Linked DNA regions of Cricetulus griseus. Each later gene encodes a partner of the first gene's protein in a complex. Links are inferred from orthologs where the notes say so. Each region holds a gene or a part of one and is shown in the gene's direction. Other genes may lie near its edges.

What was found. The genes of interacting proteins can lie anywhere in the genome.
Region 2: the proteins of Lepr (region 1) and Lep are in contact, whole or in part, in a crystal structure (PDB 7Z3R), measured with the Mus musculus proteins. The link is inferred for Cricetulus griseus from reciprocal best matches to the Homo sapiens genes LEPR and LEP. Residues at the interface, in NP_666258.2 of Mus musculus: Tyr439, Leu440, Thr441, Arg466, Ser468, Leu469, Tyr470, Gln499, Pro500, Ile501, Phe502, Leu503, Leu504, Ser505, Val560, Phe561, Glu563, Asn564; in NP_032519.1 of Mus musculus: Lys26, Val27, Asp30, Thr33, Leu34, Lys36, Thr37, Thr40, Arg41, Gln92, Gln96, Asn99, Asp100, Glu102, Asn103, Asp106, Leu107, Leu110.

Annotation. Positions count from the first base shown.
Region 1 is NC_048595.1:47,869,714-47,877,280, reverse strand, and holds part of Lepr (leptin receptor), read left to right. Parts: intron 1-723; coding exon 724-872; intron 873-2,815; coding exon 2,816-2,975; intron 2,976-3,090; coding exon 3,091-3,173; intron 3,174-6,037; coding exon 6,038-6,254; intron 6,255-7,567. UniProt on the Homo sapiens protein: Receptor for hormone LEP/leptin. On ligand binding, mediates LEP central and peripheral effects through the activation of different signaling pathways such as JAK2/STAT3 and MAPK cascade/FOS.
Region 2 is NW_023276806.1:198,734,166-198,741,636, reverse strand, and holds Lep (leptin), read left to right. Parts: upstream 1-2,884; 5' UTR 2,885-2,937; coding exon 2,938-3,081; intron 3,082-4,226; coding exon 4,227-4,586; downstream 4,587-7,471. UniProt on the Homo sapiens protein: Key player in the regulation of energy balance and body weight control. Once released into the circulation, has central and peripheral effects by binding LEPR, found in many tissues, which results in the activation of several major signaling pathways.

The DNA of each region.
Region 1 (7,567 bases):
AAAAAAAAAAAGGTAGCTGGGTGTGGCACATGCCTTTAATCCCAGTACTAGGGAGGCAGAGGCAGGCAGATCTCTGTGAGTTCAAGACCAGCCTGGTCTATGTAGTGAGTTCTAGGCCAGCCAGGGCTACAAAGGGAGACCTTACTGAAAGAAAGGGGCAGGAAGGAGGGGAGAGAAGAGGAGAAGGAAAGAGAAACAAGATAATCATCGTTTATGCATTTCTATATTTTTATGTATTTCATCTTTAAACAGGTCTTTATTTTTTTTAAAAAAATCATGTTAAAAATAGTTTGTGATTCAAGTCACCTTTGCCTCTATTTTCTGCTAATTAAAGTCTGTTTTCTCAGATTATAGAAAGCAAGCTTCTAATGGCTCAGTCAGCAGGTATTCTCTGACCTTGCAAAGTGACACTGATAACATACTGCTGAGTTTTCCATTGTACCTCTTTGCTTACAAAGTAGAGATAATCCTTTTTTCTTATGTATTACACAAAGCTACAGGCACGAGCCAATGAATGAGAAAATTTTAAAAAGGATATTACTATATAAATATGATTAATACTATTTATATTTATATATGATAAGTATGATTAATAAATAATAAATAGTAATATGGTTAATACTGCTGTTTAAGTTACTATTACATTATATTATTTTTTTAAATTTTAAAATTTAAATTTTTAAAATTTTTTTAAATTTTTAAATTATTTTTTTAAATTTCTAGTAAAACCACTACCTCCATCTAGTGTGAAAGCAGAGATTACTACAAACACTGGATTATTGAAAATATCTTGGGAAAAGCCTGTCTTTCCAGAGAATAACCTTCATTTCCAGATTCGATATGGCTTAAATGGAAAAGAAATACAGTGGAAGGTACCTTTTACTTCTAATTGTTTTCTTCTCTGTCCTCTCTTCTTCTCTCCTTTCTCTCCCCCACCCCTCTGTAAATTGGAGTCACTCTGTAGCCCAGGCTGGCCTTCAACTTGTAGACCTCTGATGCTTTAGCCTCCAGAGTGCTGGGGCTAATAAGTGCTATTTAAATGTTTTATGAACACATATTAGTTATACTTTATAATGGGTTTCACTATGATATTTTCATATATATAATGTATTCTGATCATATTCACCTCCTCTTACCACCTCTTATCCCCCCACCACTGTTCCCTTCCTGTTCCTAGCCAGTCACCTTTCTCCATGTTTGGTAAGGATTTTTTCCACAGGAACATGGGCAGCTTATCAGTGGTTCTACCACTAAAGAAACTATCTCATCTTCCCCCAGCAACAGGGAAATCCTCAGGGAGAAGTGGGGGCCCTGTGAGCCCTTCTCCCTTCCATGACCAACTGTACACAGAGGTTTCTTTCCCACCCGCCAGTTCCTGAATAAATACTCAGAGACTTAATAGTAACTATAATTGTTTGGCTAATGGCTCAAGCATATTATTAACTAGCTCTTCCAACTTAAATTAACCCATTTCTATTAATTTATTTATTGCCATTAATTTATTTATTATGGCATTACCTCACATCTGCTTCTCTGGCAGCTGTATAGCATCTACCGGACTCCGCCTTCTTTCTCTCTGTATTTCTCTTTGGATTTCCCAACTGATTTTCTGCCTGGCCATTGGCCAAAACAGCTTTATTCATCATCCATTAAATATTAAAACACGTATTTGTAGCATATAGAAGGACATCCCGCAGCAACCAACCTCATACATGTCTTGTGTAGGTAATCACAACTGCTGAGAGTTAAACATGCAGCAGCATCTTATAATGTTTCAGAGTTTTGTTGTATCACATTGTCACTGGCATACAAATAGTACTCTCCTGTATCGTGTAATTGCTTTCATTACTTAGATCAATGGTTCTCAACCTATGGGTTGCAAACCTTTTCACAGGAGTCACATATCCTATAGTTACATTATGATTAATAACAGTAGCAAAATTACAGTTATAAAGTAGCAATAAAATAATTTTATGGTGGGGGGGTCACCACAACATGAGGGACTGTATTAAAGGGGTTACAATATTAGGAAGATTGAGAAGCACTGACTTAAATTGTAAAAGTTTAATCCTTGCAAGGAACAAAAATAGCATACTTGACAGGACATTTTCCCAATGAGCTGTTCATGAAACAGTGATTGCCTGGCTAAATAGGCTCAGGAAACTCTACCTCATTGTACCTTCCTGGTGTAGAGATGCAGTTTATGATATTTAAGATTTGGAGAAGGCCTTCACTGAAGAAACATATTGCATCCTTTGTTTCCACACTCACTTTTCAGGGACCCACATTTCATCTAAGCTTCTGATATCTTTCAGTATGTTCATCAATAGTACATTTTGAAAAAGACTACTTTTATTAAACAATCATAGAGTTGAGTGTGCATATGGGAAATTTTGTGTCAGTTTTTCAAGGCAGCTTGCTAAGATCGGAAATACAAGAAACCCTAATTCCATTGTTAGCACAATGACATCAGTTGTGGCGAATGTGAGTCTTATCCACTTGATTCTCTAGAAGGGACCCTGTCTGACTGCCATTTTTGAATTCTTGTCTTTGTGGTGGAGAGGATCAGATGGTAAGGATTAGCAGTAGGGCAAGAGTGTGTTTGGAATTGACCTTGCAAGTGCAATGAGTCAAAAATGGAAAGACCAGGTGTGGGAGGCAGCACTCCTCTGGCTGGCCTAACATCATGAGTTTCTGAAGTGAGAAAATACAGCATCACTCTATCTTAAGTTTGGAATAGTGTTAAGGTTTAAAATACAAGCACACTTCAGGACCCAAGGAGGCATACATATTGACAGTATGACTTCTGTTCCAGATGCATGAGGTATTTGATGCAAAATCAAAGTCTGTCAGCCTGCCGGTGCTGGACCTCTGTGCAGTCTATGTGGCACAGGTGCGCTGCAGGCGGTTGGATGGACTTGGGTACTGGAGTAACTGGAGCAGACCAGCCTACACACTTGTCATGGATGTAAAAGGTCTGTGAACACTTGTTACTGTTTCTTGAAAGTACAGAAGCATGTGCTTCAGATGTGACTGAAAACATTCCTTCCAAGAACATGTGTCCAACTTGGGCTCCCTGTCATTTTGCAGTTCCTATGAGAGGACCTGAATTTTGGAGAATAATGAATGGTGATATTACTAAAAAAGAGAAAAATGTCACCTTGCTTTGGAAGGTATTTCTAATTTCTATCTTTTATTTTATTCTGACGTTATGTTGTTCTATTCTTTGTTTATAACCCTGTCACTATTAATCTCACAAATGACCCCAAACCTTATGTTTTAATGCATTTTGGAGATGTGGTTGCTCAGAGCTAAGAATCTGGGGTTTTGACATAGTCAGGAGCCTTTATTATTGTCTTAGGTCAATTACAATTGTGCCATTGCTATTTTGGCAAGTCTTGGATTCTTTGGACTTCACATTTGGCATCTGTATCAGGGTAAGATTCCCAAATGATAATTAATGTTGCTTCAAGTCCACGATTTGATTGTGATTGAATCCTGAACAATGTAAACATGGCTTTGCCCTCACACTGTAAGCACGTAAGAAGTAAGAGAGGATTTGAGCTATGTGATGGCATAGGATAAGTGTTTTCTACAATGATGGATAATCAACTTGGAAATGCCAAAGCATCCATTCTTCTAAAGAGTGACTTCTTTCCCAAATAAATAATTTCAGGAGTAGGTATAAAGCTTATGACTTACTTAGGAATAAAATATACTAGGTAGGCCATGTTATGTTTATTATGTAAATGGGAAAGACTGTCAGGAGAATGAAGACATCATTGCAGTAAGGACTCTTCAGCTTCAACAGTAAGAAAGCAAATAGCCCAACGAAAATATAGACCAAATATCTGGTCTACATATCTAACCAAAGGTGACAGACCCACAGGAGACAAATAAAAACATGATAGGAGTCTTAGCATTGTTGGTCATTGTTGTGGATTTACAAAGTAAAACAACAGTGAGGTATAAGTCCATGTCTATTAGAATAGTTATTACTTTTCAAATTGCTGGTTGAGAATACAGAGCATCAAGAAACTTGGTTTGCTGCTCATGGAAATGCAAACTTGTGTAGCCTTGATGGACCATCGTGCTCATAGATGATTATCTGGGTGACTTGAAAACTTTCTCTACATGAAAACTTGCACATGAGTTATTCAGACCACTGTATTCATAATCGTTATTCCAAAGTGAGACTCTTCAGTTGACAGTGAAATGGTAGGCACACAACACTGCACATTTGCACATTAGGACAACAGATAAAAGTATCCAGATTTAAAAAAATCATAGACTGGAGGATTCGAGGATGAAAAACAGATTAGATTATGACCATCACAAGTGTATGAAATTACCTCACTGTGTAGGGCAAGGGAAAAGGCTTTAATTAACTTTGGAAATGAGTCTGATGTGTGGAAGATGTGAGACACTACATGAACACTTTGGAGTTGTGCATTTTTGCAGGGATGTAGGCTAGTAGTTATTACATCAGTGTATGTCTGTCTTGATGGAAAAATTGAGATGAGTGGGCCAGAGTACAGGTTTTTCACTGCTCTCTCAGGAGGCTCCAGACTAGCAAGAAAGTCAGCCATAATGGTTCTTGTAGTCATAGATTGGAGTTAGAGGTCAACATAAGCTCATTAAGGCATAGGTGGGCTCTTTCAGACATATTTAGATATGTATATTTACAGAGGCCAGTATACATGCATATATCCTTGATTTTGTAAGCTAAGAGGGCCTAAAAGTTAAGACTATTCAAGAGGAAAGAGTGTCTCAGTCAAAGAAATCAGGACCTGAGAGAAATGCTTACTTTGGGGCTGGGGCAGTAAATGTACAGGTGAGCCATGAGTATCTTTTAATATTCTTGATTCTTTGCTTATGATTAAAGAATAAATACTAACATATCAAAATGACATAGATTTTCAGATGAAATAAAACTTGTATTTCCTCATAGAAGTTTTGCTTACATCTTACTTCCACCCTACTACCCACAAGCTTGCACCCTCTGCAGAATACCTGCATCTGTGTGAATGTGTCTCTGCCATTTTTCAACTGGAGACACTTGTTCTGTCTGTGTTATAAAATTCAGCTCTTCATAGCTTTCTAAGGGATTGGCAGCATTTAATTTTCCCTGCAATAGGTAAAGGTGATTGCTTGGGAAGTGAAGGGGATCATTGGACTCTCTTTTTTTTGGCGGGGGTGAGACAGGGTTTCTCTGTGAAGCTTTGGAGCCTATCCTGGCACTCATTCTGTAGACCAGGCTGGCCTCGAACTCACAGAGATCTGCCTGCTTCTGCTTCCCGAGTGCTGGGATTAAAGGCGTGTGCCACAGATGCCCAGTGATTGTTGGACTCTTAAGAACAGAAGAACATGGAGCTGGATGGAATGGAATGTGTTGTACACAGGAATCTTTCATAACACAGTATAATATTTTATAGAAAGCCTTACGGCAGAAATGTCCAGGGCCACAAAGACTGCTCAGAGAGCCTCTGTTATTTGTTAACCTTCAAGGTTTCTGTTTTGTTTGCAAAAACTCTTCTTGCGGTAGCTAATCTTCCAAGCATATCCGGGGGAGAACAGTGGTAGATTTACTTGGGTTTACAAAGTGATGATGACTATCTGAGCCTTCTTGTTCCTTCCTAGAACCTGAGTAGTACCTTTGCTTGCTTGTTAGATGAGGAAACTTCTTACCAGTCTTTTTCTACATTTAGAGTAGAGATTCTTAGCATTTTCTATGTGTTCTTCATATTTTGAGTGTCCTGTGTTCTTACTTTATTGTCTTTAGTCTCTGGGTCTAAAGAAAAATGTAAAGAGGGGAAAATAATTTCCCTGTGCTGCACGACTCCTAGATATGTCCATGCCTACTGCATTGCTCAGTTTCAACTCCTGTTCCCACCCCAATGCCTTAACACTAGGTTGGGCAGTGCCTGCCTTTGTCTAACTCCGACTTCCTGGTGGGAATGTATAATCAGAATTCTATGAGCTCAGTTGTTATAAATGCTGTGGTCCATGTGCTAATTCATTTTTGTGTTTACTCCAGCCCCTGATGAAAAATGACTCCCTGTGCAGCGTGAGGAGGTATGTGGTGCAGCATAGTACTGCCCACAATGGGACGTGGTCAGAAGACGCGGGAGATCAGACCAATCTCACTTTCCTGTGGGCAGAACAAGCACATACCGTTACGGTTCTGGCCATCAATTCCATTGGTGCTTCCCTTGCAAATTTTAATCTAACATTTTCATGGCCAATGAGTAAAGGTAAAGATGCTGAGAAATGAAATAGTTTATTGCCCTATTTATTTATTTATTTTGAGTTTTCAAAGCAGGGTTTCTCTGTGTAGCTCTGGCTGTCTTGGAACTTACTCTGTAGACCAGACTGGCCTCGAACTCACAGAGAACTCCCTGAGTGCTGGAATTACAGGCATGTGCCACCACCACCTGGCTTATTTTATTTATTTCTATGGTGGGTCATACAGAATCCTACTATTATTATTATCATTATTATTTTAGCCTGACTGTTAAATTATGATGTAGCTTGATTGCATGACTTTTTGTGTAGCACTGCAGCTATATCATTCTTGCTCCTTCCCCTTCAATGCCTCCCATGTATCGCCTCTAAAATTCATTATCTAGTCTTTATATATATATATATATATATATATATATATATATGAGTCTATTATATTTATAGTCTATATATATAATATATATATATATATATATATATAAATGAGTCTAAATAGACTCATATATATATGAGTCTATTTAGCTTTGCTCATACGTACATGTGTTCAGGGATGACCACTTGGGATTGGGATTAGTTAACCTGTGCAGGAGCTCATTCATGGAGGAGACTGATTCTTCTTCTCTGAGTATCCACTGATTTTCTGCAGCTCTTCCTCTAGGGGTGGGTGTGAGGGCCTCAGAACTGGCACAGAACACAGCCAGATACCAAGTTCTCAGCACAAAGGAGATTCAGTACCCCAGAAGGATAAGTGGGGACCAGAAGGCTGCCTCTGGATGGACAAAGATATTAACAGGTGACTCTGCAGGAGTGGTTTTTAAGGAGAAAAGGGGGAAGTCTGGTAGGATGAGTTGGTAAGCTCTGGTTGGACATGTTAGTCAGTGTAGCCAAATAATAAATCTTGTTTTGCTGGATCTTGGTGTTTGGATAGCTGGACCTTGGAGTTTTAGTCAGGCATAAGGAAGTGGCCAAATAGAGGAATTTAGAAAGTGCTGTGAACTTTAAAGAAGGGATAGGACATATTCAAACCATAATCAAAGACTTCATGAAATAAGTGACGCTTGGATAGGTTAGTAGGTGGGTAGAGACACCAGAAATGAGTATTTTTTCCATTTAAAATGAAATGGTATCTTTTATACAAAACACAGATTTTATGCTCCTATTGAGGGTGGCTCTTGGGACAGCAAGGTGGCCCTGTAGATAAAGGCACCAGCCACCAAGCCTGATAACTGAGTTAGATCCCTGAGAGCCTACAAGGTGGAAGGGGAGAACCAATTTCCACAAGTTGCCCGACATCCATACATACTCTGGCATGTTGCATCCTCCC
Region 2 (7,471 bases), on another chromosome or scaffold:
GTAGCCCAGGCTGGCCTGAGATTTACAAGAAATTCTCCTGCCTCAGCCTTACAAATGCTAAAATCACAGGTAGGCATGGGCCACCATAAACAATGCCAAAAGCTGCCACATGGAGCTTCTGCTTCTATTTATTGGTCACTTTTGGCTGTTTAACTGAATCTAATGGTAGAAGCTGGAAAATATAGCAGGTGTGTGTGTGTGTGTGCGCGCGCGCGCTGCATAAGCATGTTCTGTGCTGTTGGGCCAATCGGTTCTCACCATGGCTTTGATCTCGGAAGGACCTGTAGCCACTTCTCTCTGCAACCCTCCATGCATGTCCTAGAAGCCTGGCCTCTTATCTTAGGCTTACTTACTCAGCCATAGCACCTCAGTTCCATGTTTTCAAAGCACTGCAATTTATTGCCAGAATCCACTGGGGCATATTACCCATGCTGAGAGAGGGCTTGTAAAGCTTTTTGTCCATTTCAATAGTTCAGGTGGCCGTTATGTGAAAATAGCTATGTTATGACCATAGGTATTCTGGCAGTAAATTTTGTAAGGAAGGGGGGTATCATCAACACATACATCTTAGAAATGAATGACACACATGCTTGTGCTAAGGGGAAAACCCACAAGCACCAGGGTACCCCGTTGGGATGCCCAAGGGAGGCAGTGGGCCAAGTGCGTGCCTCAGAGTCAGCTGCAGGTGCCATTGCCCAGAGCGTTGCAAGCTCTGCCCAGTAATTACAATCATTTTTTAAGTAGTGGTCATTTACTCCCTCAACCCTGAGACAGACACAAGCCAAGACAGGCAGGGATATCAAAAATTCATCTCATTTACTCTTTGGAGCCAGTGCTAGCACTAGCTCCATTTTACCGGTCCGAACAGATACTCTGGGAAGTTAACTATGCTTACTAGGGGCATACAGCAACAAACAATAACAATAACAATAACGAAACAGCCTACAGTTAAAGCCCGGGGTCTGAGTGTTATACTTGGTTCCTTCACTGGGGTTTCAGGGAACTAGATGGGGGATATCAGCTAGCAGCCCTGCTGATCTGTGGAGAATATGTTCCATGACTTCCAGTGGACACCTGAAACTCATGAGAGGACTAAGTCGCTTATATGCATTTATTCTTCATATGCCTTGGAGCACAGACCCCTAGAACTCAAATTCCTCTCTCCTTGAATGTTTCTGCCTCCTTTGATCACAGTTCTTGCTGTAGGGCCATTATTAAATTAAGTAAAGGTTAACAGGGATACACTGTGATTCCATGACAGTTGTGATAACCAGGAAGCTACTAAGTGGCTCACAGAGGAGCAATGTATACAGTGTGGGCACCCTGGGTGAGGGATTTCACACCCAGTAGGAGCAGGATGAGACAGTATATGACTTCATAATACTACTCAGCCTGGCACAATTGAGAGCTGATGAATTATTCATTTCTGGAATTTTCTATTTAATATTTTAGGATCTTAGATGACCAAGGGTAACTAAAACCTCAGAAAGTGGAGTTATGGATGGGGGCAGGGGATTGCTATATTTCAATCTGTCCTTCGCACATCCCTGCCTGCCATTCATCTTTTTGACTTTGGAAAAGTCGGCTCATCTTTCTGAGATTCATTTGTTTTCTCTTCTGTAAAACTCAGATTAAAAAGAGCATACCTTTAAGCAAGCACTATAAATAATATATAAGCAGTGTGCTCATTTTTTGCTGTACTGCCAGAAGGTGAGTTATACTAATATCTCCACCGATGGATGGCCAAGCATTACCTGTTCCCACCAAGACCCAGAAGAGGAAGAACACAAAAAAGGAAAAGTCAGTTTTTCTACTGTCTCCACACTCTTCATCCTAATACTTATGGATATCTTTATTCTTCCAGCTCACACACACACGTCCTTAGCGTGGATCACTGGCTAAGACTTGCATACATTTCACTTTATTACTTTTGCCTCATGCATCTCATCAAACCGGCGTTTCTTAATCAAGGATCAGCATAGTGTTAATTTAAAAACTCATGGCTCCATGACTGAAATTTCCAGCATTCTAAGTGAATGTGCTGCGTTCTTTCCTGCTTCCATGCCTTTGCAGTTCTGGTCTCTTGGCCACATAGGGCAACTGTGTTCTACTCAGCCCCTTCTCCGTCTGGAACCCTTCCCAGGCAACCTCCTCTGGGCTCCTGCGATGTCTCACACTTGTCTTCTTGTGAAGCTCCATCTTCCTGCATTGAAACGGCCTACTTTGCTTGTCTGTCCCTCCTGTTACACAGAGGCACTAGAGGGTAGGAAGTATCTTCCGTCCTTGGGGCACTGTGCCTGGTGGACAAATGCTGCTTGGACTCAGGTCCCCACTGGGAGAGGAAGGGACTTATAAGTCAGTAATGAAGGCCACAAAAGACAGCAACAGGGGGCTCCTGGAAGAGTGACAGGAAGGGCCAGGCAGCACTGGAAGGAACACTTCACAGCTCCTCCAGCTCTTTCACGTGCATTAGCTAATTTGATCTTCATCCGAGCTTGGATATAGGTGGAGTATAGGGAGAAAGGTGGAGTTTTGAATGGTTACGTGAGACACCTAAATTTAGGCAATGAGGAAACAACTACATTCCAGCCAGACCTTAAGAGTTGGTCCTCTTTCCCTTGAAAGTATACAATAAAGCCCCCCATTGTCATCACATCCATCTGACAAGCACTGCCCCCTATAATCTACAGGATACATCACTGTGGCTTTATTGACCTGTCAATAATGTTCCCAGGGGGATGAATTTCATTAATCCAGGTTCCATAATGCATTGTCTTGACTTTGAGACGATGGTAGCTAGCTAGGGAAGAAAGCAAATCTTATCCATCCATGTCCAACAGTGGGCTGGCAGCAGAGCCGACAGGGTGGATTTATACTGGGCTCTTGAAAAGTGTCATTCCTTCTGTTTGCAGGCCCAAGAAGATCCCAGGAAGGAAAATGTGCTGGAGACCCCTGTGCCGGTTCCTGTGGCTTTGGTCCTATCTGTCCTATGTTCAAGCTGTGCCAATCCAGAAAGTCCAGGATGACACCAAAACCCTCATCAAGACCATTGTCACCAGGATCAATGACATTTCACACACGGTAGGGAGACTCTAGGGGACAAAGGAGGGAGAAACACATCAAGCACTTTCTGAATGCCAGGCACATCCTGGAAGCTGACTATTTATAAGCCTAGGGTGTCCATTCTTTCTGGTCATGGCTCTTGACTCCTCTGCCTCCTGGAATCCAGAGCTGAGTGGTTCCAGTTCCAAATCCAGCACCCAGACCGCTCAACTGTGGTTCTAATTCTAAGCCACTTGAAGGGATCTGACTTTGTCATACTCTCCCTTTAAGAAACCATAGGTTCTGTGACATCAGAAGGCCACCTATGTTCATTTTCTCTCTGCCACAGGAAACCCTGCCCTCAGCGGTTTAGCAGAGCATGTGAGGCATACCTAAGGGGAACTGTGGTCCGTCCCTGCTCTGCAGACCACTATCTCTTCTCCTCAGCCTATTGTTTCTGTTTCTTATTCTCCTTCCTTCCCAAAACTACTTCCTTGAATCCTAGTATCCAGGACCACAGGAAACTCTAAAGGTCATGGTGTCCCATTGACAGGTGGCCAGACTCCCAGCAGTATCTCCACTGGGCAGTCTCTACACAGGAGGGTCATTAGGTTCTAACAGTTTTAGTCACAACTTTTCCTGCCTTTGCACACCCTCATTTCAAAGTCACACAGAAGAGCAGTCTTCATCACCTTTCAAATGCAGTCATCATGGGAGACCCAACTACCCAAATGTGGGTAGCAATGAGAGAAGGTTGCTGAGGTGGGAAGAGCCCTTCCTGGAAACCAGATTCCCTAGAGTGGGGGGAGGGGCACAGCTTTGACCCTAAGGAGGAAGGATTACATAAGAATATGACTGGGAGGGAGAGATCTGATAAGGGTGAGAGGCTAGAGTCAGAGTAAGGAACAGAGAACCATGGCTAGTCCCTCTCGGATGCCATTTGGAGAAAGGAATTACCCAAGAAGATTAGTCACAAGTGAAGGGAGAGGTGGCTCAGAAGTAGCAGAAATATGGGAGACAAGCTCAGTGGCTCATCAGGCAGCTGAGCACGGGAGATAAGGGCCTGGACCCGGAGGGAGAGGAAGGAAGGAGGCAGCCTAGGCTCACAGATGTGATGGAGGGCTTTGCCAGTCGATTCCCCTGCCATCTCCTGAGTATCTGCTGTTCCCCTTCCTCCCGTACAGCAGTCGGTATCTGCCAAGCAGAGGGTCACTGGTTTGGACTTCATTCCTGGGCTCCACCCCATCCTGAGTTTGTCCAAAATGGACCAGACTCTGGCAGTCTACCAACAGATCCTCACCAGTCTGCCTTCCCGAAACGTTGTGCAAATATCTAATGACCTGGAGAACCTCCGAGACCTTCTCCATCTGCTGGCCTCCTCCAAGAGCTGCTCCCTGCCTCCGACCAGTGAGCTGCAGCAGCTAGAGAGCCTGGATGGTGTCCTGGAAGCCTCACTATACTCCACGGAGGTGGTGGCACTAAGCAGGCTGCAGGGATCTCTGCAGGACATTCTCCAACAGCTGGACCTTAGCCCTGAATGCTGAGGCTTCAAGGGCCTCCCAAGAACCATGTTGAAGGAAGAAACCTTAGCTTCCAGGTGTCTCCAGGAGGGGAGAGCCATGCGTATACATCTCTCATCCAGGACTCTGTCCACATCTCTCACTCCTCTAGGCCACCCTTCCAAAGGCATGACTCCACAACGCTTGACTAAAGATAGACGCACCATTCCATGAGCACTAGGAAGGCCAGTCTGCAGAGGTGATTCTCACCTAGTTCTACAGCAAGTAGTGATAAGAAGCATCCTGTCCCTGCCCTGTTCTACCCGCCTCTTGGTACATGCTTCACTGTGGTCCAGGGGATATGAGGAAGGGGTGGGCAGAGTCTTTGGATGGTCTCAGTGTCTCCCGGGGAGCACCATGAAGGCTGCATCCACACAGCTGGAAACTCCCAAGCAGCGCATGTTGGAAGCACTTATTTATTTATTCCGCATTTTACTTTGGATGGATCTGAAGCAAAGCATTGGCTTTTTCAGGCTTTGGGGTCAGTCAGGGTTAGGGAGGCTCCTGGGATGCTGTTTTCAACTCCAAATGATGGGTCTGCCTGAGGTAAACCTATTTTGAGTGACTGGGGTTGGGCTCGCCTGAGCAAGAGCCAGCCAAGGTGGCTCTCGAGTCTGTCCTCTGGTCACTGGTTTCTTTTCTATTGTGACTGACTTTATGCAAACACTTTTGCAGTGGCATTGCCTGGAGCATAGGCTAGATTATCGAAAGAAGATGAATTTTGTCAAGTGTAATATGTATCTGTGGGCACGTGGGGGTAGGGATGTGTTGAGCAAGGGAGAAGGACTCAGAATGTGTGAAAAGCATATTTGTGGTAGGCTTTTCTGAAAGGGTGAGGCAGTCTCCTCACCTTCTGAAACCACCTAGTGTGGTTTTTACGAAAAGAACCGTTTGGAGTGAACTAGGCACCCATGGAGGGGGCTAAAACCACAGACCATTTTATTGGTACATTGCTGAGCTCGGGGAGTGAGGGTCCCACAGTTGAGATAGTGATTCCCAAGAAAAGGGTGCCTGGTGTGGCCCTCCAAGTTGTCCGGGTTGATCCCACAATGGGTTTCTAAAACTGGCAGTAACCCTGGTAGGTGTTTGCATGTCAGCATGTGGTTCTCATCTGGTTGGTTCATCCAAAGTAAAACCATGTTGACCACCCATTCTGTGGGGAGTTTTGTTCCAGTGGGAATGAGATTGTTCAGCTGATGGTCCTGAGCCCTGAGCCAGCACTGCTGAGGAAGTGCCAGGGCCCCAGGCCAGGCTGCCAGAATTGCTCTTCGGGCTGGAGGCCACGAGGATGAACGAAGGGGCTTGGGTTTTTCCATCACCCTGCACCCTTTTGTCACCATCCCACTGTGGGTGGTAGATCAATGCAAGAAAACTTGATGGAAAAAGCAAGACACTTTAAGACTGAGCGCCACTTGGTGCTCAGACCCAACTGGTGCTGTGGGCTAGAGAAGCCCACCAAATAAACACAAAACTCAGGGGCTCATGTCCCTGCAGTAAGAACCTACTCACTGGTGTGCCAAGGGGGATACTTCACCCGGCAGCGCCACACAGCTGAGAGGACAGTGCTGCCTTCAGCAGGTGGGAAACAGCCTGAGCTGAGCGTGACAGTGCCCAGGGTAACCTCGCTTGCACTCTATAGCATTTGCATACTTTTCAGGGCACATTAGCATCCACTGCTATTGGAGCACATCCTGTTGACACAGGGTAACTGGGATTGTTAAAATAAGAAAATACAGGTTGAGGATCCCTTTTCCAAGATGCCCGGGACTAGAAAGCCTTGGATTTTTGAGTCTTTTCAGGCCTAAGTATCTTTGAGTAGATATAATGAGATATCTTGGAGGTGGGACCCAAGGATAAACATGAAATTCATTTGTATTTCATAATACCGTAGACACACAGCTTAAAGGTAATTTTATACAGTGTTTTTAAATAATGTTATGTGCATGAAACAAGATTTCACGGTGTGGAGTTTTCTACTCATGGCATCATGTCATCACTCAAAAAACACCGGGTTTTGAAGCATTTTTGGATCTTGGATTTTCTGTTAAGAGTTATTTAGACTACACTTGAAACTATAATGGCCAACAGGTGGCAAGGCCAGACTAGGGACTGGTTTCTCATCCCCGAAGGGTGTCCCTCCAGCCAGGTGATGCACTCACTCAAGGAGGTGATCTGGATCAGGTTTGGGGTGCTGGATAGAAGAGAGGCGTTTGGAGTGGACTTTGGAGGAGGTGAGGAATGTGAGTTTCCTACTAGAAGGATGTTGTTGTATTGGAAGTTGGGGCGTAGAGAGGTAAAAGTATGAATAGGAGGTGAAGGAGAAGACGGACAAGGAAGAACGGGACGGAAAGGAAAATGCTGGAAGGACTTTATGGGCCACTGAAGTGGATACTGAAAGAGTCCCAAGTGCCACAGTCCAGAACAGAGGCTTGTGGTGGCTGGTGTCAGACTGTTCTGGGGTCCATAATATGTCACCTTGGTCACCCTATCAAGCCAAAATGTCCTGAGCCTTTTGCTCAGAAAATCTGGCACTATGGCTTATTCCCAGATTGTGAAACTTCCCATATGCAAAAATGCTTGGGTTTTTTTTTGTTTTTTTGTTTTTTTGTTTTTTTTATATGACAACAACAAACTTCTGTTTTATTTTGTGTAAACTTAAATAAATTAACGATGCCTCCAGGCTTTGTTTTCTGTCTCCTGTTGTGGAGGGGCTTCAAGGGAGCTGTTTGTGTGTGACAGGGCAAGGCCTGGCTGGCGTCCAGCCATCACCGGGGTCAGCTCCACCCGGGCTTGGCCACAGCCAGCAGCCAGTTATTAGGCGAAAGGATTACCCTAAAGCCTAGGGCTGGCCAAGGAGCACATTGTACACC